Schizosaccharomyces pombe: one gene and its partners. The protein of the gene in region 3 purifies or fractionates together with the protein of the main gene of each other region. This does not show direct contact. Each region holds a gene or a part of one and is shown on either strand. Other genes may lie near its edges.

Region 1 (12,724 bases), on a different chromosome or scaffold from region 3:
GTGTTACTGAACCTGAGGGTGAGTTCGAGCTCACTGAGGCTATTGAGGATGGTCCTCGCCCCTTCAAGGTTTTCTTGGATGTTGGTTTGAAGCGTACTTCTACCGGTTCCCGTGTCTTTGGTGCAATGAAGGGTGCTTCTGATGGTGGTTTGTTTATTCCCCACTCTCCCAACCGTTTCCCTGGTTTCGATATTGAAACTGAGGAATTGGATGATGAGACTCTCCGTAAGTATATCTATGGTGGTCATGTTGCTGAATACATGGAGATGCTTATTGATGATGATGAAGAGCGTTATCAAAAGCAATTCTCTGGCTTGATTGCTGATGGTATTGAGAGCGATCAACTTGAGGACATCTATGCCGAGGCTTATGCCAAAATCCGTGAGGATCCTTCTTTCCAGAAGTCTGGTAAGGATGCTGCTGCTTTCAAGGCTGAGTCTCTTAAGTATACTCAAAGGAAGCTTACTGCTGAAGAACGCAAAGAGCGTTTCAACGCCAAGGTTATTGAGGCCGGTCGTGCTTAAAAAGGGTGCTTAATAAAAAATTGACATTGAAGAAAATTTTTATTTTTGGCGTAGCTTTGTTGTATATTCTTGTTTTGTTTTTTTTAGTTATGATTTATAAACGTAAAGTAATAACGGTTTTTTGCTAAAAAACTTCATGAATTTGATATATAGTTAAAAATTGTCTATGCGATTTTGGTGTCCAAACTAAAAGTAAAATATTAACACACATGTATGTTGAAAAAGTTGTATTCAACAGTAATACCTTGGAAACAAAGGCTGCTGGTAATAAAAAGCTCTGAAATTAGAAGTGCGAACAACAAAGTTGAAATATGATATTAAAATGGCATAAATAAATAAATAGATAGTTTTATTACAAAAATTTTTAACTCAAACTAGTGAACTGTCAAAATTATAGTCTACAAAATCCAGAAGTCAAAAAGTATTTTCATAGTAATTGCAAAAGCTAAATATATTTTGAGCACACTGTTGTGCCCTTAAAGAAGGAAACAAGCGACCATCATACCATAATTCAAACAAGCGTTTGGCAGTAGCATACCGCTAAATAAATAAATGCAAAGGAACATTCATGGTATCAATTTTTGCGGCATCACACAATTGATGTGAGAAAGAAAGCTTATATTGTGAGATAAACCTACGGCATAAAAGTTCAAGCAACAGCGAGAGAAGAAATTGGATTCTAAATCATCTGTTCAGAGCAAAATCTGCCACGAATCAGCACAGTCAAAAGTGGAAATTGTTGAGCTTTTTCTTCGGTTTTATTTTCTAAAAAAAAATAAAGCGCCCTGAAAAAAAAAGGACAGATTTACACAAACATGACATTTCAGAGTTTTAGCCGGATAAACGACATTAACTGTGTTACGGAATTTTGGAACAAAAGTAAAGGAATATAGACAATTTTTAAAACATGAAAACCTTTTTTTAATTAAGTACAAAAGTTTATTGAGACTCTGTAGTAGTAGGGTTGGATTCTGGTTGCTCTGAAGCAGCTGACACTTCGGGTTGGGCTTGTTCTGGTTGCTCTTGTGAGACATTTGAGTTCTCTTCCTTAGGAGGCTCTTGCTTACTTTCGTTTTGACCGACTGGTTCAAGATTATTAACTTCCTCGTTACCATTAGAGTTAGGTGCAGATTGTTGTTCAACTTCAGTGCCAGATTTTTCGTTAGACTCAGAGATTTTTGTGTCACCATTATCAACATTCGTTTCAGTTTCATTCTCTACTGGGCTCTTTTGAGGTGCAAAAGAGACTGGTGAAGGTGAACGATGGTTCCGTTTAGGAGAACGACGATCATAATCGGGAGACCGACTACGTCCATCAGGACTACGACTACGCGAACGATAACGAGGGCTCATTGATCTTCTATCAGATCGTTCATCATTATAAGGGGAACGAGATCGGGCTTCGTGCGGACTAGGTGACCTTGAACGTAGCCGTCCAGAATCTCCGTGAACACGACCTCCTCGTTCGCGTCTTCCACCACGTTTGGAGCCAGGGCCTGACGGAGGTGGTTGCTTGGCCCATTCTACACGAAGAACACCGCCACCTCTTTCGAGACGACGTCCGTGCACTTCATAATACGCATCTTCAGCATCACGGGAATCTTCGTACTCAACGAATGCAAAACTATCCAATAAGACGGTTAAAATCTTTACTTAGAAAGCCATTTACTTACGGTCTTGAAGTTCGAGTTCTAGGGATTGGGATGTCGCAACGTATTAAAGGCCCAAAACTAAATGAATAAATTAGCTATTTAAAGTGCATGAAAAACAACTTACGGCTCAAATTCATAAGCAAGCTCACGAGCACGCATTCCATCTCGAAATCCTGTCACATAAAGGGTACGAAGGCTTCTGCGACTCATTTTTTTCTTAAGAAGACGTTTTTTGCTCCAAAATTCGGTGTAAGTGGAAGGAGGAATGGAAATCCAATAGCGAATAGCACGGTGTGGCTAACGAATTTAGTAAAAATCACTCGTGCTCACTAAATTGAAATCCGACGACAAAAAAATTAATAATGACCTGCAGCGCGAAATACAAAAAGTAACTGCTAACACCAATATTAAATCAATAAAAGCATCGTCTTACAAGTACATATACGTTTACGATTAAAAAATTAGAAAGAGAATAATGTTAACCAACTAAGCTATTAGATTTTCATTGTATTCATATCTGGGAACGAACACTATTGATGTACACTAAAGCCGGATCAATAATGCACCGGTAACCTAATTTATGAACGCTAACCAAATGAGAAGCAACTAAGAGCTGATCCCATAAAGTGTGAGAAAAGGAAACGAGCTTGAACAAGGTAATTTAAACCTTGAATGCACGAGACTTTCTGCGACCACGAGCTCTCTCGAACTTACGGCCCTCAGAACGAACATAAGGAGCCTTATGCTTGTGGGGACCAAAGCCAAAGTGACGGTAAGCCTCACGAGCATGCTTCTTACCACGAACAAGAACAGTGTTGCTTCCAGTGGGAGCACGTAGAGCAAGCTGATCGAGGGTTAAAACTTCACCACCAGCTTTCAAAATACGAGCGCGAGCAGATTTAGTAAAACGAAGAGCGGCAATAGAAAGCTTAGGAACAGTCAACATACGCTCATCGTCGGTAACGGTTCCGACAACGACGGTGGTTTTGTTCTGAGAAGAAGCACTCTTACGGCTAGTTAAAGCAGCGATCTTTGAGATAGAAATAGGAGGACGGTTAGTCTTGGATTGAAAAAGACGCTTCAAAATAGCCTTGTTGAAGCGGGAATCTGTACGACGGGCCAAAAAACGGTAAAGCTTAACCAAAAGCTTTAAGTAGACGTTCTCCGAAGCAGGCTTGCTGCGTTGAGACTTTTTAACGTGATGTCTCTCGATATCAATTCCCTAAATCACTCATTAGCTTAATAGAACAAACAGGTATTCATATTATACATACCATTTTGATATAACGCTGCTTGTTCGTTTCAATAATCACTGCTAAAATTGGTAGTAAATTTGTGACTGCCTTTTTGAGCTAGGGTAGGTTTTAGGGAGGTTTATCGAGAGTCACTAGGTACGCCTTATTTGTGTAGCAAACCCATAAACGGAGGTGTATAAATGATTCAATATAAATAAGTATTTGCTAGATTATTTATTTATAATAGTGAGATTTTGGAATAGGGTAGGTGTTACTTTTGCATTTATCGAACACGTTCATTAACTCTCTAAAAATTAATTGTTTTATAAAACTAGATATATGAAAAAGATGCATTTGAATTTTACTGCAAATAATAATTGAATTATATAACCATATTTCATTGAAAATATTATACTTTATGGAACCCTTCAGTATTCATTTATTGTAAACCTTTTCATGCTTTTTGAGTAGACAAAGAAGTATTTTTTTTTTAAGCTGCACGAAAATTGCAAAAATTGATCGGAATACAATTTCTTTTACTATTGGGCGCTTAAAAGATAACAAAAATAAATATAAAGTGCGAACACGAAGACGTTGCAAATACTAGCATATTTCAAATATTAAGCACATAAGTAAATTAATCAATATATTTTTATAATTGATTATTCAAATCTATGTATCTGATAACTCGTAAAATTGGTTAGGTTACTTATTTACCTATTTTTTTTTTTCTAAAAGTATCATTTTAAGACCACGAGTCATCTACAGGATTGATTTTAATTTATTTTAGGCAATAAGGAACATATCTCGATTTAATAGGAAATCTTTGCAGAGATTTCTATCAATTACGAGATTAGGATATTTTTTTGATCGTTTAGATAACATTTTCTATTTAAAGGGATCAGAATGTTGCTAAAACAAATATATTTGCTTCGATGCACAAACACTTTCTAAATTGAACGTAATTATTAATCAATGATAATATTTGATTATTTAAGTTACTTGCATGTTTAGCTCACATTAACTATTTTAACTCTACGAAATTAAGTAATTGTTATGTCCTCTATCAATTTGATTTGAAGCAATTTCATGTTCTTCTTTTGGCATAGATTCAGTCAGCTTAGTAGTTGCAAGTAGATAATTCTCCATACTCTGATTGCTAATTTCTTTAGGTATTTAGCTCTTTTTTAAAATCAATGATATTTACTTAATTACTTTGGAAGGAGAAAACCATTAATATTATCTATTTGTATTATGAGTTGTAACGTGGTTTCGTGGTGTAGTGGTAGCATACTTCGTTTGGGTCGAAGTGGTCACGGGTTCAATCCCCGTCGAAACCCGAACTTTTTAGTTTGTTTTTTTATTTAATTCAGTATAAAAGCAAGTTTTCAACTTTTTATGTTTTCTGCCATTCCTGACTGCGGGTAGTAAACACGCGGCCATTTAGCAAATATTATCACAAATGCCGTAAATACTTTCTGTTCACTATAGTTTGTGCTTATAATAAACCTCTTTAGTTTTCTTTAGCGAATATGGTTAAAGCTGTCCTTTTTGAAACACTTTAACATGCAAGTAGTAATAGGCTATCATTTTTTGGTCATTAAATATTAAATCATTCATAACACTATATTTAAAAAGGAAAAAGTAATTCATTTTCTGTTCACCATAATAAAATATTGTATCACCTTAAACAGCGATAAAGAATCGTAATGCCACTTAGTAAACGGATTTCTACGCTAACTTGCTGGAATCTACTATAGATGATGAGTATCTTCAGTACAGTGCTTAAACTATTATGATGTCAACTGAGGACGTCATACTGTATACGCAAAGTATGTAAATTCTATTAATACATATATACCCACCACAACATACCAATTTAAATCAAATTCGTTAGTGTTTACAACTTTGAAGAAAATTTGACTTTTATCTCTCCTCATATTCACTGAAAAATTTTTTAAGATGTCTGCAAAAGAAGGAAGCTCCCATCCCTCATATGCCGAGATTGTAAGAGAACATGCTCCTGAACAAACAGCAGCAGAAAAAGCCGCACCACAGCCTCCTGAAGTTGAGGAAGTTCTGAGTGAAGAACCCTACCAAAAAAATGAAAAAGTTGTCGTTTTAGATGAGGAAGATGCCGACGCCTTTCTACATCCCGAAGAGGCGGAGGCAAAGAAGGAATCAGAAAAACCATCCGATGGGGAAAAGAAAGGTAAAACTGAGAAATTGGAAAAAGAAGCGAAATCTGTTTACTCCAAAGCTTGCAATTTTGTCAATGCTCATAAAGTTCCAGCTTCTGCTGCCATATCAATCAACCTCCTCAGTCTTGGCGCCATCTCTGCATATCTCTTGAAAAGCCGTCAATCTGGAACCCTTAACAATCGTACTCTTTGCACCTGTACCGCTATTGCTGGCATTGTATTTACAATCAGCGCTGTATTTTCAAAGACTCCCAAAACTGCATGCTGTGCTTCCAAAAAGTCTAATAAATCAACTTAATGTTCGTTAAAATCTGGAATTCATTGTTTGAAAATCTCCAGTATTGTTTATTCCTATCATCTTCTTAAATTAACATATCCCCTCTTGATTTTCTGCACTTCTGCTGCATTTTACAGGTTTGATGAAGAATACCTCTATAGTATATCACAATATTTTATTTAATGTTATGATTTAATTGAACATTACTTGTAATGCTTTTGCAATATTAACTTAGTGAATTTAGTAATTGATTCCGACTATTTGGGCGTTCTGGCATAGCACTGTCATCACACAATTTATTTATTTGTCGCGATTACTTAATTAAACAATGCGTTCAAACAAGTATAATTTACAAAATAAATTCTAAATAAAACCATAATTATTTATTAAATGTAGAAAATGATAACTAAAGAAAAGGGTTTAACCGAGAGTTCTTTTTGCCTAAATATGTAAAAGAACGAATGAAAAGGGAGAAAGGAAAGTAAAAATTGAACGAATGAAGAAATAACTCATGCACTTGAAGATGCTTTTACGTGAAATTAACTCCACAGAAACAGCATAATGGTAAATATGAAAAAAAACATGACTTTAGATAACAAATAACCAAAATATTTTGTTTTCTTTGACGAACGACTCAATGTATTTGAGCTAAAGGAAGCAGACAAAAATGCACACAGTAATATCCTAGTGTGCTAATGAAAAATCTAAATGACATGAAAGGCTTTGGCCTTAAAAAAAATTAACAATTTAGGAATATAACAACCCACGTTTGTGTTCACCTAAACGCATCCCACGTTTCGGAGCAGCTTGAGCCCAGCTGTCTCGTCTCCTTAAACCAGCAGTTGGAGTTGCGATTATAGTAGGCTTAGAGGCCGTACTAGCATAATTAGCATACAACGTATACATGTACGTTGGAGATGCAAAGACAGTCGAGGTGGCAATGGGAGGACCTGCAAACGTGGTAAATACGGAATAAGAGGAAGTTTCCCATAGCGGTTGTATGTCGGTCGTAGCAGCAGTAAAAGTAGAATCTGGTCGATTTTGAATAGGTCCTGTACGGAGAACACCGGTAGTTTGAGATAGATACCAATCTCGCATTGTACCTGTAGGCCATACACCAAGAAAAGTGCTAAAACCAGTAAGGGTAGGAACATAAGGATACACACCAAGAGCCATCAAAGACGCATAAATTTCGTAATTATCAAAAGTTCCTGTTAGACCATTAACAGTGAAAAAGTCAGTATAGTCATTAACTATACCACCAGCATATGTAGATTGTGCCCAAAGAAAGTAAAGACGTCCAGCTGGTCCAAAAACCTGAGAAATAGCGAAGGGTCCAGCTTGGGATATAGAAGAAGGACTAGGGGACGTATACAAGACTGCACAAGGTTGAGGAGCATCCATGCTACCACTACATATATAAAAAACTGTGTTGGTTATGTCCTCAAGAGGTATTCCCGTATTAGATTCTTCCCATGAAAACGAAATAGCGGTAAAATCCATACTATCTGTTGTCGCCGGAGTGACGAATCGAATTTGCGCACATACATAATGTATGTATGAGCAGACTAGCAATACTAGCATCAACATGGTGGTTTTCATTAAATTCGACGGCTTGAAGAGACTTTGCAAATTTAGTGGTAAGCGATATATATAAATCGTTGCTCTGACAACAGGGATGTATATCGAAACACCTTATTTGACATGTGTAAACAAATAATCGAGAAAAGTTGGTTTATTGTAAGCTAATAAAAGTGATTTTTTTATTTTTTTTTATTTTTTATTTCATGCAATAAATTTCGGCTTAACTCAAAAATATATATCACGAACAAGCTGGATATAGTTAACACTGAATATGTTTTAACCTGAAACCTCTAATTCAAATTCTCTTCAGTTTAGCAAGTACTTACAATTGCTCTGTAAATTTATGCCGACTAGTTTAAAGGCCAACATCTTGGGAAAATTATTGTAACGTTTGAGAATCTTTAAGTAAAGATCTATTTAAACGATACTGCTATACATTTGTAATATCAAATGCTAGTCTTGTACCAAAAGAATGAATAACATGCGAACTTACTGAATCTATGTCGTGAATATTATGTCTACTCTATGAAATAATTGCGTTAGAGCTGTCAATATATAGGCCCTTTACTACCAGATATGCTTACTGTCTGGCTGTATTCCTAATTCATTCGCAGAAATAATATATCATTTACAAATATCACAGTGGTTGCTCCAAAAGCATTCTTAATAACTGCTCACGTTTAGATTTGAGATTTGAAATATCAGTAGTGGGTACAGATTACACCACCACAATAATTTACCTTTTTATTATCCCACTTTTCATAATGTTTTTCAATATCAAAGCTTGTGAAATTTAATCGTTAATAAATCTTACAGGTCTAAAATTATTCAAACTTGTTTTATTTTCTTATTGGTATCATTTGCAACCTCATGAGTGACAAAGGAGGAAATTGTCCAAGGCAATACAGAAAATTAGGGACCAAGTTTTTTTTTTAGGACGAAAGAAATTCTAAAAGAAAGGAGATTAACATATTTTTTCGCTTTATTCGTTTTTCATAATTTATTCAACACGCGTTAATTGCTTAAAGTCGTTACAGTCAAAAATAATCATAGCATAAATTTTAAACAAAAATGGAAGAAGAAGAATCTTTAGAAGGAATTATTTCTATAGATGAGTCTTTGATAACCTCACGTTTATCGCAAATTCTCGATGATGTTTTAGACGATAGAAGTTCTTCACATTCTGTGGAAAAACTTAAAGACGTCGCTGTTAAATATGTATGTTTAAAAAGATATTGTGACCTTTCTAATTAAAATTCTAGTTGCAATTTTGTCAATTTCAGCCGACATTGCTCGATAAACTACTGAGTAAATACGTTCCAAACTTGGCTAGCTATTTACTGAAAGTGAAAAATATCGGAAAATGTAACTCAATTACCGTTATCCTTTACCAGTTTTGTAAAATAAGAGGATATAAAGCTGTTCGCGTCCTCTTTCCTGTTGGCGTTCAATATATTAAGGAATTATATACATTATTAAATGAATCATCAAATAATACCTGGCATTTTCACTACATAGTTTTACTGTGGCTTTCTCAAGCACTCAATACCCCATTCCCGTTAAATTCATTAGATGATTCCTTGGATGTGAAGAAGACCATTTACACTATAGCAATTAAATACTTAGAAAATTCGGGAATAGACAAAGAAGCTTCTTGTCTTGTTTTGTCCCGATTATTCTCTCGTGATGACGGTTTGGATTTACTTCTAGGCTTTCTACACCACTGTGAGAGTAGTTGGTTTAAGAGAAGTATCTTTTACAAAATTGGGTGTCTTTTTTCCTTATCTTCTTTTCTTAAAATTTGTCCGAGAAATGATTGTCTTCAAACAGTTGATGTTGCGTTTCAGTTTCTGAATGTAGCACGAGAAGATTTAGTTGGACAAGAAAATTCAGCGTTGAGGAAATTATTATGCAAATGTTATACAAGATTGGGAATTGTATTGCTGCCTGTAAATTCATCCCCTAATTGGAAATACTCGATCAGTAACCCAGATAGTTTCTTTCAATTACCTGATGACTCTAACGAAGAAGTACATATATATCTGGAGGTTATTGTTGATTTTTTATTGTCATCTGTAAGCGACATAGACAGTTTTGTACGCTGGTCTGCAGCCAAAGGGCTAGCCAAGATCATAAGTCGTTTGCCCTGGAATTTGGCTGAGCAAGTTATCGATGCCATTATTGAATTGATGACAGAAAATATGTTTTTAAACCCCATAGAAAACACTGTAAACATATCAATTACTTCTCCACTGGTTTGGCACGGAGCTATACTTTTCTTCGCAAAACTAGCAGGTGCAGGTTTAATTAAGTATAGTAAATGTTTACATATTCTTCCATTGATCGAAGTAGTAAGTACACTTTGTTTTCTTATATCATTCTAATCCTTATTTAGGGCTTATCATACGAAGTAAGATATGGAACTAGAGTAACAGGACAAAGCATCAGAGATGCCTCCTGTTATTTTGTTTGGTCATTTTATCATTGCTACTCTAAGTCAGCAATTGAAGGCTTACAAACGAATCTTATTTTATGTCTCTTACAAACGGTATTGTTTGACAATGAAATAAATGTGCGCAGAGCTGCAACTGCTGCTTTATTTGAGGTGATTGGCAGACACGCTTCTATTCCCGATGGGCTTTCTTTGATATCACATATTAACTATGTTTCTGTAACGGATATTTCAAATTGTTATGGTGACTTGTGTATGAAAGTAGCTCATTTTCCTCAGTTTCGTTCCTGTGTTTTCCAAAGACTATTTACAAACCTTCAGCACTGGGACGTGAAGGTACAGCAGCTTTCTGCTTTTTCCCTAAGACAACTTTCTATTAAATATCCCAAAGAGCTAAGCATCTATCTTCCTCCCATACTTGATTATTTGTCTGTTGGTAATGCAGATTTTATTTTTGGCTATACGATTGGATTGGCAAGTATTATAGGTGGATTTTTATCCATAAGCTTCCCGTTCGATATAAATCGTATCCATGATTTACTGTCGCACAAAAACCTACTGTCCTTAAAAAAATTTTCAAGGCAACAGCAAACAAAAATTATTTTGGGAATTTTAAAAGGAATTCAACAAATTTTTGCCAATGATATTCGTGTTGACAGAGCATTTTTCAGTGAAGCATTTTCTGTTATAATCGCTGCTATTGATTTACAGGAGGAAACAATCATAAAAGACATCAGTGACGCTTACAGTGTACTTGTTAAATTTGATGATATGGAAGAAACATTGGAGGTTCTTCTTGACTATATACGAAAATGCTCAACAAGTAAAGAAGCGAGAATTGTATACATTATTCTACAGAATTTACCGAATATAAGTTTTCGATACCAGAAAAAGATATGCAAGCTTTTATTGGATATTTATCCCCAACTCGTAAGTAAAGAATTTTTTCACCAATGTTAACATGAACAGCACTCAATAGACTATCAAGCACCTGTTGCGAATGCGCTTCAAAATATTATTCCCTTTACTTATGAAAAAACAGAAAGCATTGAAGAATTTGTCAAAGAATTACTTCAGGTTTGCTCCAATTATTTGACAGATACCCGAGGAGATGTTGGCTCATGGATTCGCAAACCTGCAATGAAGGCCATTTCCAGTCTATTAGTCAAAGATTCATCTGGAAAAAAATTAAGTGAAGATATAGTTTGGTGTTGTATTTCCTATATTATAAGGCAAACATTTGATAAAATTGATAGTTTGAGGGGTTTGGCATATCAAGCACTCGAACAAATCAGAGTACATTACCTAATCAGAAGATGCGAAGCTTTGACTAATATTATTAATCGTATTAGGTAAAATGAGTTTTCAATTAAAATTCTGCTATTAACCACTAGTTTCAGGAATAATCCAAATATGGATGGAGAGGTACTAAATGAACTGAATATATCTCTGCTAGAAATACCTAATTTAAGGCTTCAAGCTTTTTACGGAATTACAGTATTTACTGCCGATGGTTTTGGCAGTGACTTAGTAAGTTATCATATGCTTCGATGTCTTAATATACTAACTCTACTAGGCAGTTAAATGTTTTGAATTTTATCTAAGTTATGTTTACCAGTTAGAAGATTCGTTTAAAAAATCTAACTCTCGTTATGGTAAACGGGATCTTCTACAACTCTATATAGACATACTTTCTTCGGAGGATGAAATAGCTCGTTTCTATTTTCCAATCATGAAATCTTTCACATCTTTGTTAGCATATGGTTGTTTCACGGACTTTCAAAACGTTAAGGGGTATGTTTTTTTACATTTTGTTCAAAATACTAATGATATCAGCATGTCAAAAGCGATTTTTATTGTACAGAGAAGGGCTCTTACTTGTAAATCACCAGGGGGACTTTCTGCGATACTAGAGTTATATCGGACGCTTTTTCTTTCCAAAAATGAACTTTTGAGGCATCATGCTTTAAAATATACGGCAAACCTACTATTAAACCCGATTGAAAAAGTACGCTACCAAGCAGCCGACACTTTGCTCTATGCGAAGTCAATTGGTTTGCTAACTTTCCTCCCTAATGAATTAAACCAAAAACTACTGACTTTGGATTGGTTCGTACCAGTATCTCAAAACGCAACTTTTGTTAAACAGCTAAGGAATATAATACAGAAACAAATAGATAAACTGATAGCTGATCGATAATAAATTTTGAACTACTTTCAGCTTTTTAAATAGTCGTGTATATGATGTATAAAAACGTTAAAATCTGCAATCAATAAAATATCTGGTGAATAATCTCAAATTTTTAGCCAAAACAGTTCGTGCTTATGTAGTACTAAATTGATGTCCATAAAAGGAACACAACCAATAAAAATTACATTTGAAAATTGAGAGTTGAATTATTATTACCTTCATTAGAATTGTAATTAAAAAGTAAGAGATTAAAGCATAAAACACAAAAACACCATCGTGATAAAAAAATGTATTCATGAGCCGTGAATATAGTAGACAGCACAATACGATGAATAGAATTTACAGTTCCGAACGAGATAGGTCATCCAATTCCTTTTGGTAGTCCATCTTCAAATCCTCCAAACTGTCTTGAACGTGTAGCTTGAAATGTATTATTTCACCAAGCACAAATGCAACCTCTTTATATATATTGTTTTTGTACTCCATGCAAGCATGTGCAATTTGATCCGCTTCGATATTTATACTTTGTATACGCTGGTCTAATTGAAGCATGCTGTTATGCGAAGAAAGTTTGAGCTGTTGTAATTCTCTTTCTAACTTATCCGATT
Region 2 (9,825 bases), 140 kb from region 3:
CTTAAGTAACAAGCACATGGTGGCACTTGGAAGTAACGAATTTGACAAGCGACTATTTTGGTCTTAAAGATGTCAATAAATAAGAATTTAGTTGTTTTAGACCGACGGAAGAAGCACAACAACTTGCCAATTAAAAAGAGTCATGGAATCGAAGAATTGTTACCGCATACTTGCTTTTTTTTGTGATAGAGAGTGTAATATCTTACATAACTAGTAAGCTCACTCTTTCCCATAAACTCAGGACTTTTTGGTTCTGACAATAGCTTTATATCATAGCAATTATTGCCTCCTCATTGTAATGTAGATTGGTATTCCAAGCGAATATAACCAAACGCTTAGTTACTTTGAATCGTGGTAAATAAGCATCGTTATTTTTCATGGCAAAAAATCGTAGAAACATTGCATTCACAGTATAGCGCCTGAAGAATTGAGTTCAGTCATTTGCAATATATATATTACTGGAATCTATAGTTGTACATATTTTAGGTATCCAGAGTACCACGTGCTTGAATTCAAACAAATCAAAATAAATCCAAAAATTGTTTTGGTAAAAAATAATGCTTTGGCCGGGAATCGAACCCGGGTCGAATCGATGGCAACGATTCATTATACCACTAAACCACCAAAGCTTGTTGAGGTTTCGATAAAAAAAGATTTAATTATATTACGCGACGATATATCAACATAATAATTTTAAATAGATAATTAGGATCTTGGAAATCTTTTTATATTTTTCCTAGACTTTATGAATATAACAAATACGAAATAGAAGGTGAATGGAATAGAAAAAAAGTAATCATTCGACTAAGGAGCAAAGAACTGCTGATTACTTCTTTATTTGAATTTAGCAACCAAGAATTTATTAATGCATGTCGGATTATTAATTTAATTCATGCAGTAAGTGTTTTGCCAAACTATTAATTGCTTATTTTTTTCTCTTTGGAATTCGTTTTGGTAAATAGAAAAGCAAGTAACTTAGTCGCATTTAAATTATTAAATTCAAATCAAATTTTGTACGTTAATTACTATTCCTATTTGTGGCTTAATAAATTTTGTATAATTCCTACATATTTTTTACAATTTATCATTATTATTGGGACACGTTTATTCAAACACTGTTTTTTAGATAATTCATTTCATACTCAAGCACAGATTTATATTAAAAGTTTAACATATACAGAAATGCATGATTATTCCAAATTATTCTAAAAAAAAATATTTTTTTTTTGAAATTTATTCATTTTACAAAATGTTTTTGCTTGACATACTTCATCGATTTCCAATACTTATGCAACCTTTGAACCGTCATTTCACTAACCTACGTGAATAAACTATTAACAAAAATTAGATTAACATTTTAATTTCCAACCCATTCACAGATGTATAGTATCATTTAACAGAAAACCACTTCAATCGATATCAAATTATCACTATTGTCATACTAAGAAACCGTCAATTTTTTTTTTGAAAACAAGTACATTTGACCGCTTTTCGCCCTTGGGAATGACTAGTTCATCGCTTCATTTTATAATTAAACGCAGTAAATTAATAATCGAGACATAAAACACAGAAATTCTTCTACCAGTTAGATTAAAAAAAAAAATCTGTAAAATCATTTTCCGAACGAAAATAGTTTAAACTATGTAATTAAGGTAAAATAGAAATATTCCAACTTTTTGAGAACAAGTTCAAGAAAGATGAAAAATCTGTTCTATCAAGGTGATATGACGATCAATTTTCATTCCAAAACTTAGTTTTTTTCAGCAATTACCCACCAGTTATCACGGTCGTAGCCATGTTCCAATATTGAGCCGCCTGCGGTCTCTACTAACTCATTTAATTCACCCTTGCGAAATAAATGGTAGTAACGTTGATACGCAATATTTTCAGCAGGATCGTGCCCCTTTAATTCCTCCGGCTTTGCATTTGGATACTCATATTGCCTTTTTAATATCCAAGGAACATAAACGTCCTGCGGTCCGTCTTCTGAAAAACCACGCCTTGAATTCTTTTGTTCTAAAGCCCAAACAAAAAATAGTGCTTTCCCTCCTTTTACTAATGGTCTTAAAACTTCCTGAACAGCTTGCAACCTTCGGTTTTCATTGCTGAAATGATGGATTACAGCTATGCTTAAGGCAAAATCAAACCGATTGCTTGGATGAGGTACGTGCAGGCCATCAGAAATAACCATAGGACCTAGATTGCTTGCTATTTTAACAAGTTTTACGCAACGATCGCTTCCTATCATGTAAACATTTGGGTTAACCTTTTGGTATTTGCCATTTCCGCACCCAATGTCTACTCCTACAGAGCCCAAAGGCAAAGATTTTAAAAATTTTTCAACCACTGGCCATGGCTACAAAATGACTGATTAGCTTTAATTAAATATCGTTGTATTAACTTACCTTGTATCGAGTATCTGAGAAATGTGTTGCAATCTTATCATATACTTGATGAACATATTCATTTTCGTACTCTATTTCCATTTTAATATAAATAAGTAAAAATTTGTAGCCTTTGAAGCCGATTAAAATACGTCTCGAAGGTTGGGTAAGGTTAGCAAATGGTAAAACTAAAACGATGGGTTATAGGGATGTTAATTTCGAAATTAGAGATTGAAAATAATTTCCATTCCTTTGTTTATTGCCATGGTTCAAAATTAAGGATTTCATTATTCTTTATCATTTAAAGCAACAACTAAAACAAATTACAGCTACCAGTAACACAAAAAAAACGGTGATGGTACTAAAAGTATCCCGTTACTTTATTTTGCAATGCGCAAACTGAGATAAAGCCTTTTCTATGAATTTGAATTTTAATAATGATTAATTTAAACAGTTGAAGTGTTCAAGAAATATTATTTTTTCTACCATTGCCATTAAGCTTGTAGCTCCAGTTTATCTAGTAAATCGTCAATCATCTCCATTTTTTGATTATATTCGCTTTCATAAGGTGTTAATGTATCTACAACTCCATCAATGCACAAATCCTCATGGTAAATGCCAAAACGTTTTGAGAGGAAATAACGAATATCATCAATGAGTTCGATCGTGTCTGTTTCTTGTCTCTGTAAAATTCGATCAGCACTTTCTTTGACTAATTCACAGAATTCAGGATCGTCAATCAAGTGCTCCAAATGATTTGCCATATATTCGGAAGCGTATTGCTCCAGGCGAGGCGTAGACGTATCCCAAGCTGTTCGTAGAATATCGTAAATACTATCTATAGGCTCTTCTTGTTTAGTAATAACTATAGAAGCTAAAGATTTCAAGCTTCTATCTTTATCTAACGACAACATGTCTGCAACGTAAACTACATCTAAAGCTAATTCCGGCGCTATATCAGTTTTGTCGGTATATAAAAACTTCAATACAATTTCAACAACAGAACTTGAAAAAGGTAAAGACAAAACCGGTAGTTCTTGATTGCTTTCCAAAAATGGTCCTGCTAACATGTCCAAAAAATATTCACATCTGCACATGATGGCACGATGGACGGGATAGCGGTGTGTATAAGATTGCAAGTAAGCATCGTGAAACGAATACTGATCGGAAGGTTGGTTAAGAGATTCAATGGGTACTTTGTAGTTAGAGATTATATAATCCAAAAATTCTCCTAGATCATTTTGAGTTTTTGCCAACTGGATTTTCTTCCAATCTCTAGAGTGTAACTGCTCGCGATCTTTTTCATACAATGCGATAAAATCGTTTAACTGGAATTTTTTTCCAATACTCAGAAGAGCATTGTTATACTGTTTGGTGAAAACAGCATTTGTGTCTAAGTAGAGATATCGCAAAATTGATTCAAACTCTTTAGCAAAATGTTTGACTTCAATTTCATGTTCACTGGGTCCCAATTTCGAAAATTTTGATTTAAAATATGAACTTCTGGCAGCTAAATAGAATTTATGAGCAAAAACCCTACCATATTGACCGGCAAAGACTATGTCAGTAGTAAAATGTAAAGCCGAGTTCGACAACAAGGAAGTTATGTGACTAGCATAAGGTTGGGACTCATCAATGGCTTTAGTAATATCATAAGAAAGAAGCATACGGCGAATATTATCATTAAGGGCACCATACAAACATCTTTCTCCTTGAAAAGTATCTCGTTCGCATAAAGCACCATTTTCAAGAAGAAATTTTACAACTTAAGCGTGAGAAAATATAATAATTGAGAGCAAAACATTCATAGCATACCTGGTTCATGCCCGCAAAGACTCGCAAGGACTAAAGGCGAGTAGTCAAATTGGTCTACTTGATTAATAGGTGTGTTATAGTTTTCGACCAAACTGGATTTTGAATTTAGCAATTGCAGTTAAAATTGTTTATCGATTCAATATTTTTAAATTGCACATACCTCTTGACAACTTCCAAATCTCCACGCCGACAAGCTTCACAAAGCTCAAGAAATTCTTGGGTATCATTTACTGTGAAAAGTGAGGAAGACAGCTTCTTCTCATCCATTGCCTTTGACCAAAGGTCATACTTGGAGAAAAGCTTTTTAGAATTTTCACCACCTTGCAATTCGACATGTGTTGTCCCTGTATTTTGATCTTGAGAAGCCATTTTAATAAATGAAGAACAATTAACAACCGATTAAAAGGTTATACTGAGCAAAGATTGCACTTATGTTCAACAGTATTATCGACTTAAAATTTAATTGATCATATGCGAAATGTAGTTGGTTAACGAGGGTTCTATGTAATTGTTCAAGTTCGATGTGATTTGTGAACGACTGACCAAGGCGGCGTCAGCATTTAACTACTACGTCTTCCACCACTTTATATATTCTTGTGTTTTCCGTTTTCATTAATCATATATCTTAAGTTAAAATTATTTGCTACATGAATGAGATAACTCTCTTTATTAAATCTTCCTCTGCAAATGCTGAACGAAGGATTAACCCACAATGGACTGTTAGTCAGCTTAAGACCAAATTAGTTCCTATCGTAGGGACACCAGAACAATACCAAAAACTTACGTATGAACCTGCTTCCAGTACAGTCCCTGGACACGTTTTCACTAGCGAAGAAGAGAATTTAGACCTAGGGGAATTCAAGCTTCAGCCTCTGGGGACTATAGTCGTTGAGGATACACGCCCTCCTCATTTGCGTCTAGACTTTGACGATCTTTCACAGGTTGATAAATATGTAATGCCTCGTGAACAGTATGAGAACAGGACAGATTCTGTCTATGCCTGGAAAAAAAGAAATCAGCTTGGACGATTCAATCCAGACTTTGAAGCAAGTAAAGCTTCTCGACAAGAATCTTTAAAACGTGAATTAGTCGACTTACAAAAAAATTTAAATTCTAGGTGCTGTGCAGCAGGAGAGAGATATGGAACTATTCGCTATATTGGACTAGTGCCTGAAATTAATAATGACAATCTGTGGGTTGGCGTCGAATTTGATGAACCAGTTGGGAAAAATGATGGGACAGTCAGCGGAAAGAGATACTTTAATGCGAAAAATAAACATGGATCCTTTCTTCGATCTTCTGAAGTTGAAGTAGGAGACTTCCCTCCAGAAGATATTTTAGAAGGTCTTTGATGTTGTTATTCGTTTTACAAGGTTCCATGTTAATGATTTCCTTTTTTTTTGTTAAATCTTGTATGCAGGCTTCGATTGCTAGGAGATGACTCGCTTAAGATAATGAACAATTTTCTAAAAAAATGAAAGTCTAAAAAGTAAATCATTTAGTTTAGTCATTTCTCAATTAAAATATTTTTACTCAATCAAAGAAAGCATTATAACTGTAATGAATTGTTTGTCTGGCTTTTCTTTTTTTTTTATTTACATCGTTTTACCGTAGTACCGCTAATTAAAACCACGAACGAAAGAAAACTGTGTTAGGCCTATTTGCGCATTCCTTCAACCCCTTTATTTATTTTTTTATTCAGTTTTTGAGCCAAATATTAGAAGTACTCTGATAATTCTTTAAAAGATACAAAGCAGCAATCTCAACATGAAAGATGATCACGATGCATGGGAACCAGAAGAACTAGTCAGTGACAATAACTCTTCAGAAAATGAGCTACAAGAAGACCAAAATTCTTCAATAACTTTTTTACCACCTTCAGTTAATAAATCGAATCCCGCAAAATCGAATTACTATCATTCAACAGTCACTGATGATATTTCCAAGAGTCAGCCATATCGATTAGGAGTAGATGAAGCTGGTAGAGGCCCTGTCTTAGGACCTATGGTATATGCTGTCGCTTACTGTCCAGTCGATTTCGATTTGACCAACTATGGGTTTGCTGACAGTAAAACTTTGGCCTCCTTAAAGCGAGAGGAACTTCTGAAATTAATTTGCAACAAATCTAACGAGCTAGGAAAAAACGTTGGATGGTCTACTATGTCTATTTCCGCAAGAGAATTAGCTGCAGGAATGCTGAGGTACCGGAACAAGTATAATTTAAATCTTCAAGCACATGATACGACAATTGACTTAATAAAAAAAGTTTATGAATCAGGAATAAATGTTACAGAGATTTACGTGGATACAGTAGGACCTCCAATATCATACCAGGAAAAATTACAAGCTCATTTTCCTCAAGCGAAAGTCACTGTCACTAAAAAAGCAGATTCCCTTTTTCCCATCGTGAGTTTAGCTTCTATCTGTGCTAAAGTTACTAGAGATATTCAACTGGAATGCGCTCGTGAAAGTATTCGAACTGAGAACTGGGGTTCTGGATATTCTTCTGACGCTCGAACTACCGAGTGGTTAAAAGTAAATGTCGATAAAATTTTCGGATGGAAGGGAGACATAGTTAGATATTCATGGAAAACCGCTAAGGATTTACTAGAATTACCTTCCAAATCACAGTCTTCGATTGAAATAGATTGGCACGAAGATGACGATACTCCTACTTTGAACTTTACACAGAAAAAGAAACCGAATCCGGCTTCTCGTTCGTGGTTTGGATCAGAGTTTTATTTTTAGTTTAGTTACTATACTCTGTCACTACTTTTGCCTAAGACTAATTGTGAGAGTGATACGAATTTACATTTATGCTTAAAATCATTAATTGCATTGCTTCGTGCTTTTGGAGCTACGTAGAAAACCTTTATTAGCATTTGGTTATAGATAAAAATAATATAAATTTATTGTTCTATTTACCCCAGGCTTCTGCTCTGTTTATTGAGTTTGGTTTAGCACCAACAATAATATAACGACTTGTTAAAGTTCGCTATTATAAAAATTAGGTGGTCTTCTTTTACTTCTCAGTCCGATTTTAGACTACTACCAAATACCGCTTTGTTGTGGAATCTCGTTTTTTTTTTGCATAGATACCCAATTTGATCAAATATGGCTGGCATGAGACTTATTTTAGTTGGACCTCCAGGTGCTGGAAAAGGCACTCAGGCCCCCAACATTCAGAAGAAATATGGCATCGCCCATCTTGCTACTGGTGACATGTTGCGCTCTCAAGTAGCTCGTCAAACTGAGCTCGGTAAAGAAGCTAAGAAGATCATGGATCAGGGTGGTCTTGTCAGCGATGACATTGTCACTGGTATGATCAAGGATGAGATCCTCAACAATCCTGAGTGCAAGAACGGCTTCATCCTGGACGGTTTCCCCCGTACTGTCGTCCAAGCTGAAAAGCTTACCGCTCTTCTTGATGAACTCAAACTTGACTTGAATACTGTCCTTGAGTTACAAGTTGATGATGAACTTTTGGTCAGACGTATCACTGGTCGTCTCGTCCATCCCGGATCTGGCCGTAGCTACCACTTGGAATTTAATCCTCCTAAAGTTCCTATGAAAGACGATGTTACTGGCGAGCCTCTTATCCAACGTTCCGATGATAACGCCGATGCTTTGCGCAAGCGTTTGGTCACTTATCACGAACAAACTACTCCTGTCGTTGAGTTTTACAAAAAGAAGGGTAAATGGGCTGCTGTTGATGCTGCTCAAAAACCTGAGCAAGTTTGGGAGCAGATCGTTGCTATTCTTGAGAAGGCTGAGTAAGTATTTTTTTTAGGTTAGAGCTGAAGGGCCCCTTTCTTTTTCAATTACTTAGATATTTTTGCCTAGTGTTCGTAGGATATAAATATAGAATATTCTGAACCCAAAAGTTTTCGGTAAACTGTTTAGTTTGCTATACTACTATAAGCAGTATGTAAAACTCATATTTTAGCTGATTATATAGAAATATTTTTTGTATGTACATGATTCAAATTTATTGCTAAAATCCGAAAGCTCGAGAAAAATGAGGTTAAAACAAAACTCACTTGCTTTCTTGTTTAATAACTTTAGAAGACATTGAATCCATTGAATCGTCTCTCTCTTTGCGTTTACCAAGTGCTTGAAGGATACTTTGAATATCAATGCCTTGTAACAAATTTTGAACATCAGGTTGAGAGTCCTTCGAAGCGTCACCCGTAGCATTTTTAATATTAGACGAAACAGCTGCTTCCGCTAAATTTTGTGTACTAGTATTTGTGTTTGAATGTTTGTTTTCTGACGGGCGTACTTCTTGCAAACAAGTCGCATGAAATATACGGCCTTCCTCTTCGACTGCATTCATAAAGACCCAAACTTCAGCTTCCTCATGCCAAACACTTTGGAATTTTTCTTGACATATTGGACAAGGCTCGGACGCAGCAATTGGATCTAAGGGTGTCAATACATATTGTGACCTAACGGATTCCATTTGCTTTTGACGCTGTTCTTCGATTTCCTGAGCAGTCTCTGTAATTAAATCTTCCTCTTCTTTGCTATTGACCCATTCTTCCTCCATCACAAACCAACAGCGATTAATCCCATGAAGGCTACTTTCACGAATTCTCTTATTGATCCGAAAATGCCAATCTGAATGTTTGTCCAACTCCTTTCTACTTTCAGGATCATTTCCATAACGCCTACCACAGTTTGCGCATTGGTTAGAATAATTCTCATATAACAAAGAAGATAGCTTGGGCCGAGGAGTAGCGAGCGAAGATTTAGAAAGGTCAATGTCTGCTGTTAGAGACACAGCTTCAGTACAAGAAGCTTGTGGACCTTGAGACTTACCACCAGCAGATGGCGGAACCAACCCTGCAGCTTGCAGATTAGCAAAAAGAGAATCTATACTAGACGATTCTTCAGGCGTTAACGCGTTCGCGTTGTATAAGGATGCCGGCGGCCCTGAAGATAACGAATACTTGTGACTTTGAGGACCTGGATGGACATATGAATGAGTGAGTGGAGGTTGCGAAGATACAGAAGCCGAATACGCAGAAGGAATTGTAGGAATGGTAGATGGAATAGAAGGTTTCATAAAAGGAGTCGAAGAAATAGATGATAATGCAGAAGGCACGGAGGGAGCAGACGTAGCAACAGAACTCGTTGAAGGAGAAGCCGGCTTCTCTAATTGTGCCAGCTGGTTTTTTATAGCCAGCAATTGGTCATAAGGTAGTGCGGAAGAAGACAGCACATTTTTGAGTTGTAATAGTATTTCAAACCGCTTTTTAGCCATGTTGTCATAAGGATTTTTAATAAATCTAGCTTGTTCTGTAACAATCATTCGGTTAACATCAGATAAAAGAGAGTCCAGTGTAATAAATCCAGGAGAAGGACTGGTGCCCGAAATATGCTGAAAGCCAAATGGAACAGAAGGTAAAGACGGTTTGTACGAAGATGCCGGATCGGAAAATGAGGAGTAGGAGTTAATATTAGCGTCAATAGGAGCAGAAAATGATGAAATTGAAGTATTAGCAAGTAAAGGGCTCTGATGTCTCAAAATTGTTGATTTGTATTTTAGTAATGCGTTTTCAATTTTTGCTGTAACTATGGGGGAAAATACGGGCTCCAAAGAACTTGAATTCGGTGGACGTTG
Region 3 (11,224 bases):
GTTCTTGCATTTTATTTTTTTTTCGTTTCGTTCTTTCATGGTTTACTTTTATTAATTTAATTTCATCGGTATAATAGCTTTCTTTATCTTTCTAATATATCTGTCTGTTTTTTCGAGAGGTATGCGTTTTTGGATAGTATTTAATCACGACCGAATAAGATGCAAAATGTTTATTCTCCTTATATATTAGCTTTCTTGGAGGTAAAATAAACAAAAAATCTCAACTATGCACTCCCTTTTTGTTCACAATCATTCAATTGAATATTTTCATTAGTTGTTTGATACTGTTCCTCCAAACATATATGTATTTGACGTATTTCAAAAGGGGATAAAGGTAAGCCTAAGTAGTAAAATAAAAACGTTTTTATTGCGAGAAGTTCAACATTTCTTGACAACGTCTTAATCAGCTGAATCAACGCAGATTTGGTAATACAATATCATGTCGCAGTAATAAATTGGTTCATATGAACCAGCTACAATATCGATCACGTATATTATATACAGCCAATTTGGTAAAGGCAATTTTGCAAACTACCTGTTGATTCATTAAACAATTAGATATTGGAAGCCGGAAACGCTTTCTTCTATACATTTACTTCATTTATGTATACATTATTTCTTACATTTAATGTGACCACAAGTAACATGCTGCATACATTTAATCCAATACTAAAGACGCTTTATCTTGTTAGTTTATCTAAAATATTGCTTTACTACATGCATACTTTCCTTAATGCTTATCAAATTTCAAAAATAAAAAATGCTCATATAATTTCCTTTTCCGTATACTTAGAATGGTGGCATCTAAAATAGCGGTAGAAAATAGTACCTGTTGAAGTGACAAGTAGTGAACGCCCAACCTTCGATATAGATCAAAAAACAATAAATTACAGCTGTGCAGTTGCTTTTATTTCAACATTGCAAAAACACATGTTAAATTAAAATTTTTTTTTAAAGATTCCCTCACTTTAATACTTCCTCCTTTTAATTTATACCTGTATGATTAATTCATGAGAACGTATTCTTTACATAGACATGGACGCTGAAGCCTTAAGGAATTTGTATTTGTCATCCATTCTCCCCAATGAATCTAAAACGGGTAATGAATCACCTGAAAAGAAATTTTCTTCTCCTGTGTTGTTGCAAAGGGCCAAAGTGATTCCTTTGAGACTTGAATATGAAGAAAGAAAGCTTCTTCATTTACTTACTGCTGCATTGGATGTGAGTGATTATACCGACAGCGTTGATACCCTAAGCTTTTCGTCGCCAGCGAAAAGACTGGCTCAGCAATTGAAAGGAATTACTGCAGTTTTGTCGGGTATCATGGTTGCTTATGATTATAAAGTTGGACAAGAATTGCTTGAGCATAAAAATTTTGAACAACATGCCGAATTTTTTAAAAAGATTTTTGAAATAGGTCGACGTTATAAAGTGCTAAATCCCAACCGACTGGGGTCTACTTATGGGAAATTGATGTACTTTGTGCAAGATTCTATGCGACCAGAAATTCAAGACGCACTTGGATTTAACCTCTTTAAACCCATTTTGACTGTCTATGAATTTTTGAATGAAAGGGATGCTTTGAACGCATTAGAAGATCCTTATGCCGAAATTGCTACTATGGAAATAGTCGCTGAAAATAGATCACGCTCAGCGATTCAAAAAGATATTAAAGCGAAAGAAAGAGCTGTTGAACATATTGCAAAAAAGTATTACAGCAGCAAAATTACAAAAGAGAAAGTACGATGGTGTCTCTACTCTATTGCTGATAGTAACAGTTACTTGAGATATAATCGTGATCCAATTGCCAAACTCATAGGCTTGGTAGAAGCATATTTTTCTCCAGATACCGTGGACGATGAGTTTACTCTTGCTATTGATGCCATTAATGGCTCAAGACTAAAGCATAGTCATTACAAACAGTACCATTATGTTGTGCAAAGTTTGCATCTTTGGCTTTTAATTATGGGAGAAATATTTTCATTATGGGCTCTTAGTGATCTGGAGTTAACTAACCCAGATATGGAGTATAAGCTAATTGATAACAATCAAGGAATACACAGAATGCAGCCTTGTCCCAACATTAGAATTGCGATGGAAAGGATTTTGCGGACGGCTCAAGAACAGTCTGAAACATGGATAGGAAGTTCAACAATCCATCTCGGAGATACCGCTGTTCCAAATGCCTTATTGTTTATAGACAAGTATATGCAAGTGCCAAGGATTTTAACACCCTTGGTTCTATTGTTCAAGGAGTTAGATTCTTTAAATGACCATTCTCTTCTTAACTACATTGATACAGCTTTTGGAGGCAGAGAATATTTAAAAAAGACTATTTTAACCGATTTTATGAGATTCGGATTTGATGGATCTGGTGCAGACAATTGGTTTGATGTAAGTTAAAATTATCTATCTATATATATATCTGTTTAATTACTAACTAGCTCTAGGCTGGCAGTTGTATTGATGGACGTTTGACTAGTGCCTGGAATTGGGCAAACAACATACACACAAAAGATTACTATCGTGTACTTCTCATGTCCGGATTTCTTAGCTTCAATGGTGAGTAATTATTTAGTAATGGATTAAAATACAATCTTTTAAGCATCAGTTATTTTATTATTGCAAAAATGTATATAAATTCTCGACGTGTAATAGGCTCCCACCAACAACTGCCAACATCAGGAAATCTTATTACGTTTCGCGTAAATTGTTCAAAAGATTGACATAAATACACGTACCAAAAACCTTTATTTACTTTATTTTATTGAAGTTGGTTGTATTTAGAGATACTTTGATCGGTTTATACTTAGAATACTTTGGAGATTAATTTGATAAAGGATTAAACCTAGGATGCGTTTATGTTGAAAACCCTTAGCAAAGTGTCAAAAAACTTGTCAAATACAAGTGCTTTTCTTGTCAAGTCGAAACCCTTATACATTTCTTTTTGCACTTGCAAAGCGTACTTTGAAGACAATACTTCATTAAGCAGACGGTTTTTCTCTGCAAAAAAAAGTTTACAATTCAAATCTTTAATAAGAAAGTATTCTGAAGACTCTACCTTGGCCTGGAGAGATTATGAAAACTATAATGATGATGACCTGCTATATCAACGTGAGTTATCAGAAATATATAACAAATGTCTGAAAGCTCTGCATCCGTTTTACCCAGTTTTTGAGGTTAATAGTAACTTGTATTATCAGTTGCTAATGTTTACGAATTATTCAAATCCGAAAGATAATGGTTTTTCAAAATTGCTTTTCTCACAATATTCTGACGAAAAAAAGGTACTGGTAAATTTCGTATATAATGTGCTTCGTTTAGATCCGGATTTGCAAAGGCAAAAGCGAATTCTGGAGAGCATTATTTCAGCTGCCTTGAATATTTGCGTATCTACTGTAAATTTGAGTAGAACTGACTTAAAATCTTCTTTAAAAATAATTTTGCAAACAATTGATCTGTTTAAATATGACAGTTCATTCTCTTCTATATATTTTCGAAAAGATGGACCGTACCACAAAGTTGAAAAACTGCTGAAAAGCGCTAATATTCGCTCTTCACTTAATTCAAAAACTTTTAATGATTTCCGCACACTTTTCTTGCTTCTCATTAGAGATTACAGTCTTTTCCATGGAAATTCGAGCCATTGCATGTTAGCTAATTCTATGCTACCACCGTCTATTGCTTTTTCGAAGATGGAGAAGGCTGAAATTTTTTTACGTTTACGTGCGTTTTTTCAGCTTATGGAGCATATTGATAATGAAAGGATAACTCCATCTGAACAGTTTCTGGATAAAGTCTTTATATCTCTCCTTTCGGCTAAAAATAGCTGCTCTCTTAAAATGTGGCTCATTCACTCATTTAATAAGGGATGGCCGGTAAAAATTGAGTTTTTTGTTTCTTTTTTCAAAAATTTTTCCAATATAGTAGAAGGCTCTATGGAGGTCTATTCCGCATATTTACATATTATACGAGATCACTACAATTTATCTGATTTGGCTGACGTACAAGCAATTTTTCTTTCTCGTTTTATTTTATTAAGAAAGAAAGAAGATTGCAAAAAACTACTGGAGCATGTTTTACCTATTCGTCAGCTTTTTTTGTTAAATTGCTATAGCCTGCTAAATGTACTCGCTAATTACGTTGTCGTCTTTAAAGATCGTTTAATTTTTCAAGAAATAAATCAAAATTGGGAAGAGCATAAAGGCCAAATTCCGGAAAATTTTATTTTCTCTCTTTTGAAGATGTTTGGTGAAATGCAAGAGAATCAAGGTTTTTTGAATGCCTGTATTTATTATATAAACAAAAAGAAAAATTTAAACGAAGTTAGTCGTTATAAGATTAATTTATTATTACTACAAGGTGTGAATTCCTTCGAAGTAAAAGACTTTTACAGAAAACGAGGAATCGAAATAATGCCAAAAAACCTGCCCAGATTTTTTTGTTATTGTTTAAAAAAAAATAAATTAAGTTATGCTTTAAAGTATATACGGTTATCTGGGCTTCAGTTTGATTACATTGTTGATTGTTTCCGTAATAGCAGCGACTGGACCAGAACTCTGATTTCGATATTGAGCAAAAAAATGGGAACTGAATTCGCAATTCGTTTTTTAAAGATAATTTCTTTTCCTTTGTTATCAAATGACAAAGTTCTCCGAGAGATCGAATTTTTTGCCATTCACGAGGTAAATTTTAGAAGTCTCAAATGGGTTGCAGATCAACAATTGCGAATTCTCCCAGGATGGAGTTCTCGCCCCCAAAAAGCAACATTTCCTTTATGTACAGTTCATTTAAAAAAGTGATAATTCTCGATAGTGCTGCTTCCAATCTACATCGTGCTTGGTGCTTGATACATTTAAACGCATTGTTTGATAATTAATATATTCATTGGTATCAAGTTGTACTTTACGAGGTATGCAGCCAACAATAGATTATTTACATTAACATTGAGAGACTTAATAAAGCAGCACATTTAAAAATGAGATCGACATTAGAATCAAAACCCGTATAATAATAAGCAGTATTTCCAACTATTTTCCTAACAAATCTGATGCCATCTATATTATCACTACGTACTGAACACTTCTATGTCGCAAAGAAAAAGTGCGGTTAAAACTTTTTGTTGTAGATAAAAGACAAAATTTGAAAGAAACAAAAAACTTAAACTGCCCAAATTTTTATAGCAATCCATTTTCTTTCCCACGTTGATTAATAATGCATATATCCACTGGAATGGTTAGGGCTTCTATATCTAATACTTTAGTAACATTAACCATCGAAGGAAACAATGATCGATACCAAGTCATACTTGATAAAAACGTAAATGCAAAACAGTTTGTTAAAACGTGTTGGAGAAACAAAAAACCATTGTAAGATTGTTATTGACGACAAGAAACTAAACTATTAGAATTGTAAAAGAAGGAAAAATATTTGTAGACAAAGGATTCCCTTTTGATCCATGCAGAACATTTTTGGAAGCACTTTACGAAAAATATTCATATTCAAGTCCCCTACCTTCCTCTGTTGAATTTAAAAGTGGAAAACAGGTAGAATTCTGTGGTTTCGAAAAAATCCAAAGCAAGCAAAGAGATTTAAAAAGCTTGCGCGTTATTATTCTAGACAATTATAGGATTGAAGATATTGAAATAGAGTACGAGTATTCTAAAATACTACCTGGTATGTCACTTATTTTCAACTAAATGTTAACGGAATTTGTAGAAGTTATCGACTTAGATTTATCGAGAAATTTGTTTCATGAATTTTTTCCAATCCTTAAATTGTGTTCCCAGCTTCCTTCATTAAGAAATTTAACTCTAGAGCATGTGTTTTTGTTTATCTCTACACGTATATTCTAACTCTTTCAGTTCAAACTTATTTTCAAATTTTATTAGCTCAAATACCGTTCTTTTAATTCCTCATTTAACACAACTTTCAGTGAATGGATGTGGCCTAAACAGTAAAGATGTTCAATGGATTACAGAGACTTTTCCCAGTTTGGAAGTACTTTACCTTGAAGCAAATGAAATAATTTTATCAAAAGCAACATCTTTTAAAAATCTGCAGTTCCTTCAAACGTTAAGTCTTGCAAATAATCTCAATCTTTATAGTGCTGATGGCTATGCAGTTGATGTGTTCCAAGGGTAAGTATATTTGAGAAATACGAATTAGGTTTCTAATCTAAAGAATTAACAATTTGAATTTATCTTCTACCTCCCTCGCTGATGTTGCAGAACTACCTGTACACACTTTACACAAATTGACATTCCTTGACATATCAGAAAACAACATTAGGGATATTCGTTCTCTGGATCATCTTCGTACATTAGAAAACTTAAAGCACCTGCGTATAACACTTTCTTATTTTAATAAACCTACTGATATAGCTAAACTGCTGGTGATTGCGCGAATTCCTTCTCTTGTAAAATTGAATGATGTGAATATATCACCTAATGAGCGTTTGGATGCTGAGTTGTACTACACTTCATGCATCCGGAAGCTTGTGATTGATAATGAAATTAAGGATGTTGAAGAGCTTACGAAAATAGAGCCATTCTGGGAGGAAATATGGAAATCTCACGAGTTGCCAAGCATTCAATTCCATTTGGAAGCTTCAATCAATGACTGGACGTCTGGCATTCTTAAAAATCGCATAACAAAGGGCATCAAAATATCGTCAATTAACTCAGGTGCGACAATGTTATTAAAGCTCCATTATAATTGGAAACTGTTAGATATAAAAGCTTTAATTTCATACCACTTCGCAATTCCAGTACATACGTCTACTTTTGTCTTTGCTTCAAGCGAACGAGATGTAAGCTTCTCTCCAAAGACTGTCAGAGACGACCAAAAGCGTCTCTTTGAACTCCCTTTTACTTGTACTTTTATCGATGTATATGCAAAGGAAAGTGGAAACGTCTAAAGCCAAGTTATTACTTGAAGGACCAAAATCGATGCTCTAGTTTTACGGCTTCTTTTAAAATACAGAAAAATCTTTTTAGCGAACTCTTTTCTAGTATTATAGTTTACGCGATTAGTCATTAGAAGTTTTTTATATTTAATATTCAATAACTCTTTAAATATACTAATTCCATGTATATACCATATATGAAAAGTGCCTCTAAGTTATTTAATCGGTTCGACACAATTATAAAATTATTAAGAAACAAAGAAAACCAAAGCCAAAACCTTGAACCAATAGAAAAAAAAAATACACGTCAAGTGTGACAAACTAATCCACCACGGTCAACTAAGATCAGGGAACTGGTGATAATAGGGAATCCTTGATTACATAGTTGCAACAAAGCAAGTTCAAAGACCAAATGAAAGCAAAGTGATCAACCATGTCATATAGATTTATTCTTCAATACAGGAAAAGACACAAAGTCCAAATATATTAAGGTTGATAAACGAAAAAATAAGAAACCAATATCGTAGTATTGGAAAATAATTCAGCACACCAAATACACTTATAAAATAAATTAGAAAGGAGACAAAAATTTTAATAGCCAGAAGATTCTAAGATTTCAAATAGGGGAGATAATTCTGGGCCTAAGCCCAACCCTACTGTTTCATAATCATTATCAAGGTAAGAGCCATCATTGTGTTCGTCTTCAAGCGCACTTTGAAAATCAGAATGCATCTGACGAAAAGTCATTTTACGTGCTTTCTTTTTGAGAGCACGACGAGCCTTACGTGATTTTGGTCGTAAAGGAACGGAATTTGTGGTAGTCATACCAGTAGCATTAATTTTGTGTCGGCGTTTTTCACGTGTTTTGATAGCTAAGGTAAACCATTCATCTCGAATTAACTCATCGCGACGTGCCATAGATTTTATGTACTGATTTTTTCGAAACGTCCCAATAGGAATTTTTTCCCAGCGACTCAATGAATTATCTTCTTGTGCAAAGGAAACTGAATTTTCTTCTTGAAGATCAGTTTGTGTAGAAGGTTGCAGAAGAGATGTATCAAGAATATCATCTAGGGATGGCTCTTCTGAAGTTTCATTCAGAGTTTGAGGCCCATAACCGTTGTTAGCAGTGTTTTCACCCTTTGTACATGCATCAAACTTATCATGGTGAAGGGAATGAGAGTGTTTACCATCAATAATACCAATCAAATGATTCGGTTCCTTAGCCCAGGTACCCATTACAGGCGGCTTTGGTTGGGTTATATTTAATCTTGGATCTAATTCAAAAGATGCTACAGAGACAACTGTAGAAACTGGTTGAGCTAAGGTAGCTTTAGCTAGTGTTGGGGTCAAACCAGTACTATTATCGGAAATATTTGCACGAGAAGCCAAAGAAGTAAGATCTTCTTTATAGGCGAGTTCAGCTGATAGCTCAAGCGGAGTAGGGACAGCTGAAAGTAGAGTACGTTGTGAGTTAGGTGATTCCGATAATTCTGTTTTGATTCGGGGTGTTTGACCGAAAGATTTTTTAGGAGTAGATAGATTTAATAACTTATTGTTTTGTAATTCTGGTGTTTCTTCATCAGTTGTATCCCCTTCATCATCTGCTTGGTGAGATAAAGTGTTGAGTTCGTCCGAAGAATCATCAAAGAAGCATTCCCATCCAATCAAGTCAACATCATCTTGTTCATTGTCATGATCGTCAACGCTAGAATCTGAACTAATAAGCCCCAGTAAGAAATCATCATCTGATCGCTCATCCATATTTACATGTTCGGTAAGAAAACGTTCACGATGGCTATTAAAAGAAGCCATGTCCATGTCCAAATTATCAACCCAGGAAGCGCTAACTATATCTTCTTCTTCTTCCTCTTCTTCTTCCGTAGATGTCGAAAAGCCATTTTCAGTTTCACCTTCGTACGTTGAGAGGTGCTTGCTTTTCGAAAAACCTTGATTATCCTTTTGTGGAGAAATAAAACATTTATTTTTCCAACTCTCTTTAAACATTGCATCTCTTTTTAAAATTTTCGGTGCCTCTAACGCAAACGATCCTTGATTAGACGAACGTCGTCTAATTCCTGCGTTTTCTCGTTTTACAAACTCTGTAGGGGGAGTAGAAACTTTTAAAAGTCCATTGGATACCTCTTTCGACTTGGGATGTGAGGAAGACTTTTTCCAAGAATTAATTTTCAGAGGCTCCTTATTTGAATAAAATGGTTTTTCATCGACAAATTTCTCTTTCGATCTACCGATTTCAAATCCCAGGGATAATTTTGAATCAGAAAAATCATGAAATTGATTTTCCTCACTGTCAGATAAAGGCAAATCCAATTTCTGTCTTTCTTCTTGAAAGATGAATGTTGGCATTTTGTCAAAATCAACGGGAAAATTCAATTCCGCTGGTAACTTTTTAATTTCTTCAGTATTTTGATACCCATTCTGTATATCATACTCTTCAATTCGCCCATTCGTTAGCGCCATCCTAACATTCGCAAAGACGAATTACTTGGCTGTGGTTAAGTACTCAACTGCTTGAAAGCGGAATTCTTAGCCTCTAGTTCTGATTCCACCAACTACCCTACCCTAAAAGTTGTGCGTGAAATCAGCGTGATGCCGCCCTAATTTTTCACTTCATTACGGCATTCCCAAAGGTAACACAAATTTCATTGCGACACTTAACTTCACGACACCAATGTTCATAATGGTGCTATAAATTACAACAGAATCTGCAACAATTGCTACTTTATATTATTTGCACACGCATTCCATATTTTTTATCGCACTTCCAATTGCATTTTTGCAATTCGTTTACATCTAAGTAAAGGAATATTTTCAATAGAATGAACTTGAATAGCATCTGGTGTAATTGCACTCATAGTTGGGTCATAAATTTGAAATCATTCATTGATTAATCATTTTGAAGTTAATTATGAATTTAGAGCAACCGTTGTTGGCAAAATAGTTGTTAAAGCACTTTGCTAATATAGTTGGTAAATATCTAATATAATGTCTATACGACAGAAGTTTAAATTACAGAACAGATGAATTTTACTAGCGTACCAAGCAGAGTAGTTCAAAACAGCACTAATATACGCCTGGCTAACGGTGCCTAGCTTCTCTAAAGCTTCTCACCGTAAAGCTGACTACTCTCATCAAAGTTAACGGTAAAAGCGGTTACTGAATCGTGTAGAAACCAGTTGGGAATATACATTATAAAACTTTAATAATTTCTGGCATATAATGTTATTGAACTTCTTTACATAATCTTATATTACTGATATTTCTTAATTATTAGATATAATTAATTTTTATTTTCATATCTTGGCGATAACAAAGTTTATTAAATAGTCTAATTCATTTTTATCATCTACCTAATTGAAAATGAAAAATATTTTTAATTCGATACCCATCAATCAAATGAACATTGACTGTAATAGTATACTGGTTTGACGATTCTACTTGCCGTAGAACATCATTTACGACCAAAAATCTTTTTCAGATGCAATATATAACATTTTATAGCATCATGCATTAATCTCATTCATTAAAGATAAATTCCAATCTGTGAAAACAAAATTCAGTGCGACTATAGTGGCAGCGAGTGACAAACTTGAAGGCCACAGATTCTCCTAATGTTTATTGATCTTCCATTTTGGGACGTTGCTTCAAAACCAAGTCAGTGCCAGTCATTCTCTTATAAATATCTCGAACGTCGCAAGTCAAGGTTTCAAAATGGGAAGTGGCATCTACGCTTTTACTGATGTAGCATTGATCTTTGGTGCCATCTGTCACTGGCTCATATATTTCCTGGACTCTAGAAAATGATTCCACTACAGGCCCAAGAAGCTTGAGACCAGGTGCGATTTCCGACAAAGGGTTAGCTGTCTCAACGATTGTGGAAATGATAGCCAAGTAATATCCCTTAGGGCAAACATTGTGAACAGATGAAATTCCTGCAATATAAATGTCGTGCTTACGTTTGACTTGGTTCTGTGGAATAATAATTTGAACGGAATCCAAATTATCTGTGTTAGGAATGGGATGGTTCAAGATACAAATAGCTCGCACAAGGCGTCCAACTGAACGAACTTTTTCACGAAAATAAGATGGGTCCCCAATTATTTGCTTAGCCTTTGCAACTTGATCGCCACTTCGAACACCGATTGCGACACCATCATCCCCATAAACAATTTCATCGACAGGCTGGTTAAGCATGTAAGTACCACCGTAAATTGCACTTAAACGAGCAAATCCTTGAGGAAGTTCGCCCAAGCCGTATAAAGGATATATATAAGGGGATTTGCCAAACTTGGCAAT

The links.
Region 1: the proteins of alp21 (region 3) and alp1 purify together in Schizosaccharomyces pombe (affinity purification with western blotting; 2 studies listed by BioGRID). This does not show direct contact.
Region 2: the proteins of alp21 (region 3) and alp11 purify together in Schizosaccharomyces pombe (affinity purification with western blotting; one study listed by BioGRID). This does not show direct contact.

What each region holds. Positions count from the first base shown.
Region 1 is NC_003423.3:3,352,546-3,365,269, reverse strand, and holds alp1 (tubulin-specific chaperone cofactor D Alp1), read left to right. Parts: upstream 1-8,222; 5' UTR 8,223-8,544; coding exon 8,545-8,691; intron 8,692-8,735; coding exon 8,736-9,824; intron 9,825-9,868; coding exon 9,869-10,855; exon of another isoform or gene 10,856-10,894; coding exon 10,895-11,277; intron 11,278-11,325; coding exon 11,326-11,455; intron 11,456-11,501; coding exon 11,502-11,719; exon of another isoform or gene 11,720-11,761; coding exon 11,762-12,125; 3' UTR 12,126-12,224; downstream 12,225-12,724. Other genes in the region: rpl502 (60S ribosomal protein L5), read left to right, coding at 1-524; pre-mRNA-splicing factor srp1, read right to left, coding at 1,464-2,148, 2,198-2,254, 2,301-2,386; rpl1801 (60S ribosomal protein L18), read right to left, coding at 2,838-3,398, 3,451-3,453; SPOM_SPBC11C11.06C (uncharacterized protein), read left to right, coding at 5,374-5,910; knh1 (KRE9-like protein), read right to left, coding at 6,637-7,491; protein Ndc80, read right to left, coding at 12,456-12,724. UniProt on the Schizosaccharomyces pombe protein: Has a function in the folding of beta-tubulin. Microtubule-associated protein that is essential to direct polarized cell growth and to position the nucleus and septum to the center of the cell during mitosis.
Region 2 is NC_003424.3:2,248,622-2,258,446, forward strand, and holds alp11 (tubulin-specific chaperone cofactor B), read left to right. Parts: upstream 1-4,761; 5' UTR 4,762-4,846; coding exon 4,847-5,551; 3' UTR 5,552-5,819; downstream 5,820-9,825. Other genes in the region: tRNA (uridine) methyltransferase trm9, read right to left, coding at 1,751-2,356, 2,406-2,486; ubiquitin ligase Btb3, read right to left, coding at 2,879-4,149, 4,200-4,291, 4,360-4,568; ribonuclease H2 complex subunit Rnh201, read left to right, coding at 5,967-6,947; adenylate kinase Adk1, read left to right, coding at 7,314-7,976; pcf11 (cleavage and polyadenylation specificity factor), read right to left, coding at 8,236-9,825. UniProt on the Schizosaccharomyces pombe protein: Required for microtubule function and cell polarity. Involved in the proper folding of alpha-tubulin.
Region 3 is NC_003424.3:2,384,872-2,396,095, forward strand, and holds alp21 (tubulin-specific chaperone cofactor E), read left to right. Parts: upstream 1-5,064; 5' UTR 5,065-5,214; coding exon 5,215-5,369; exon of another isoform or gene 5,370-5,407; coding exon 5,408-5,676; exon of another isoform or gene 5,677-5,718; coding exon 5,719-5,818; exon of another isoform or gene 5,819-5,864; coding exon 5,865-6,140; intron 6,141-6,183; coding exon 6,184-6,919; 3' UTR 6,920-7,072; downstream 7,073-11,224. Other genes in the region: SPOM_SPAC22H10.08 (uncharacterized protein), read left to right, coding at 1,036-2,394, 2,451-2,570; protein Cbp8, read left to right, coding at 2,862-4,802; TOR signaling pathway transcriptional corepressor Ifh1, read right to left, coding at 7,499-9,388; GDP dissociation inhibitor Gdi1, read right to left, coding at 10,544-11,224.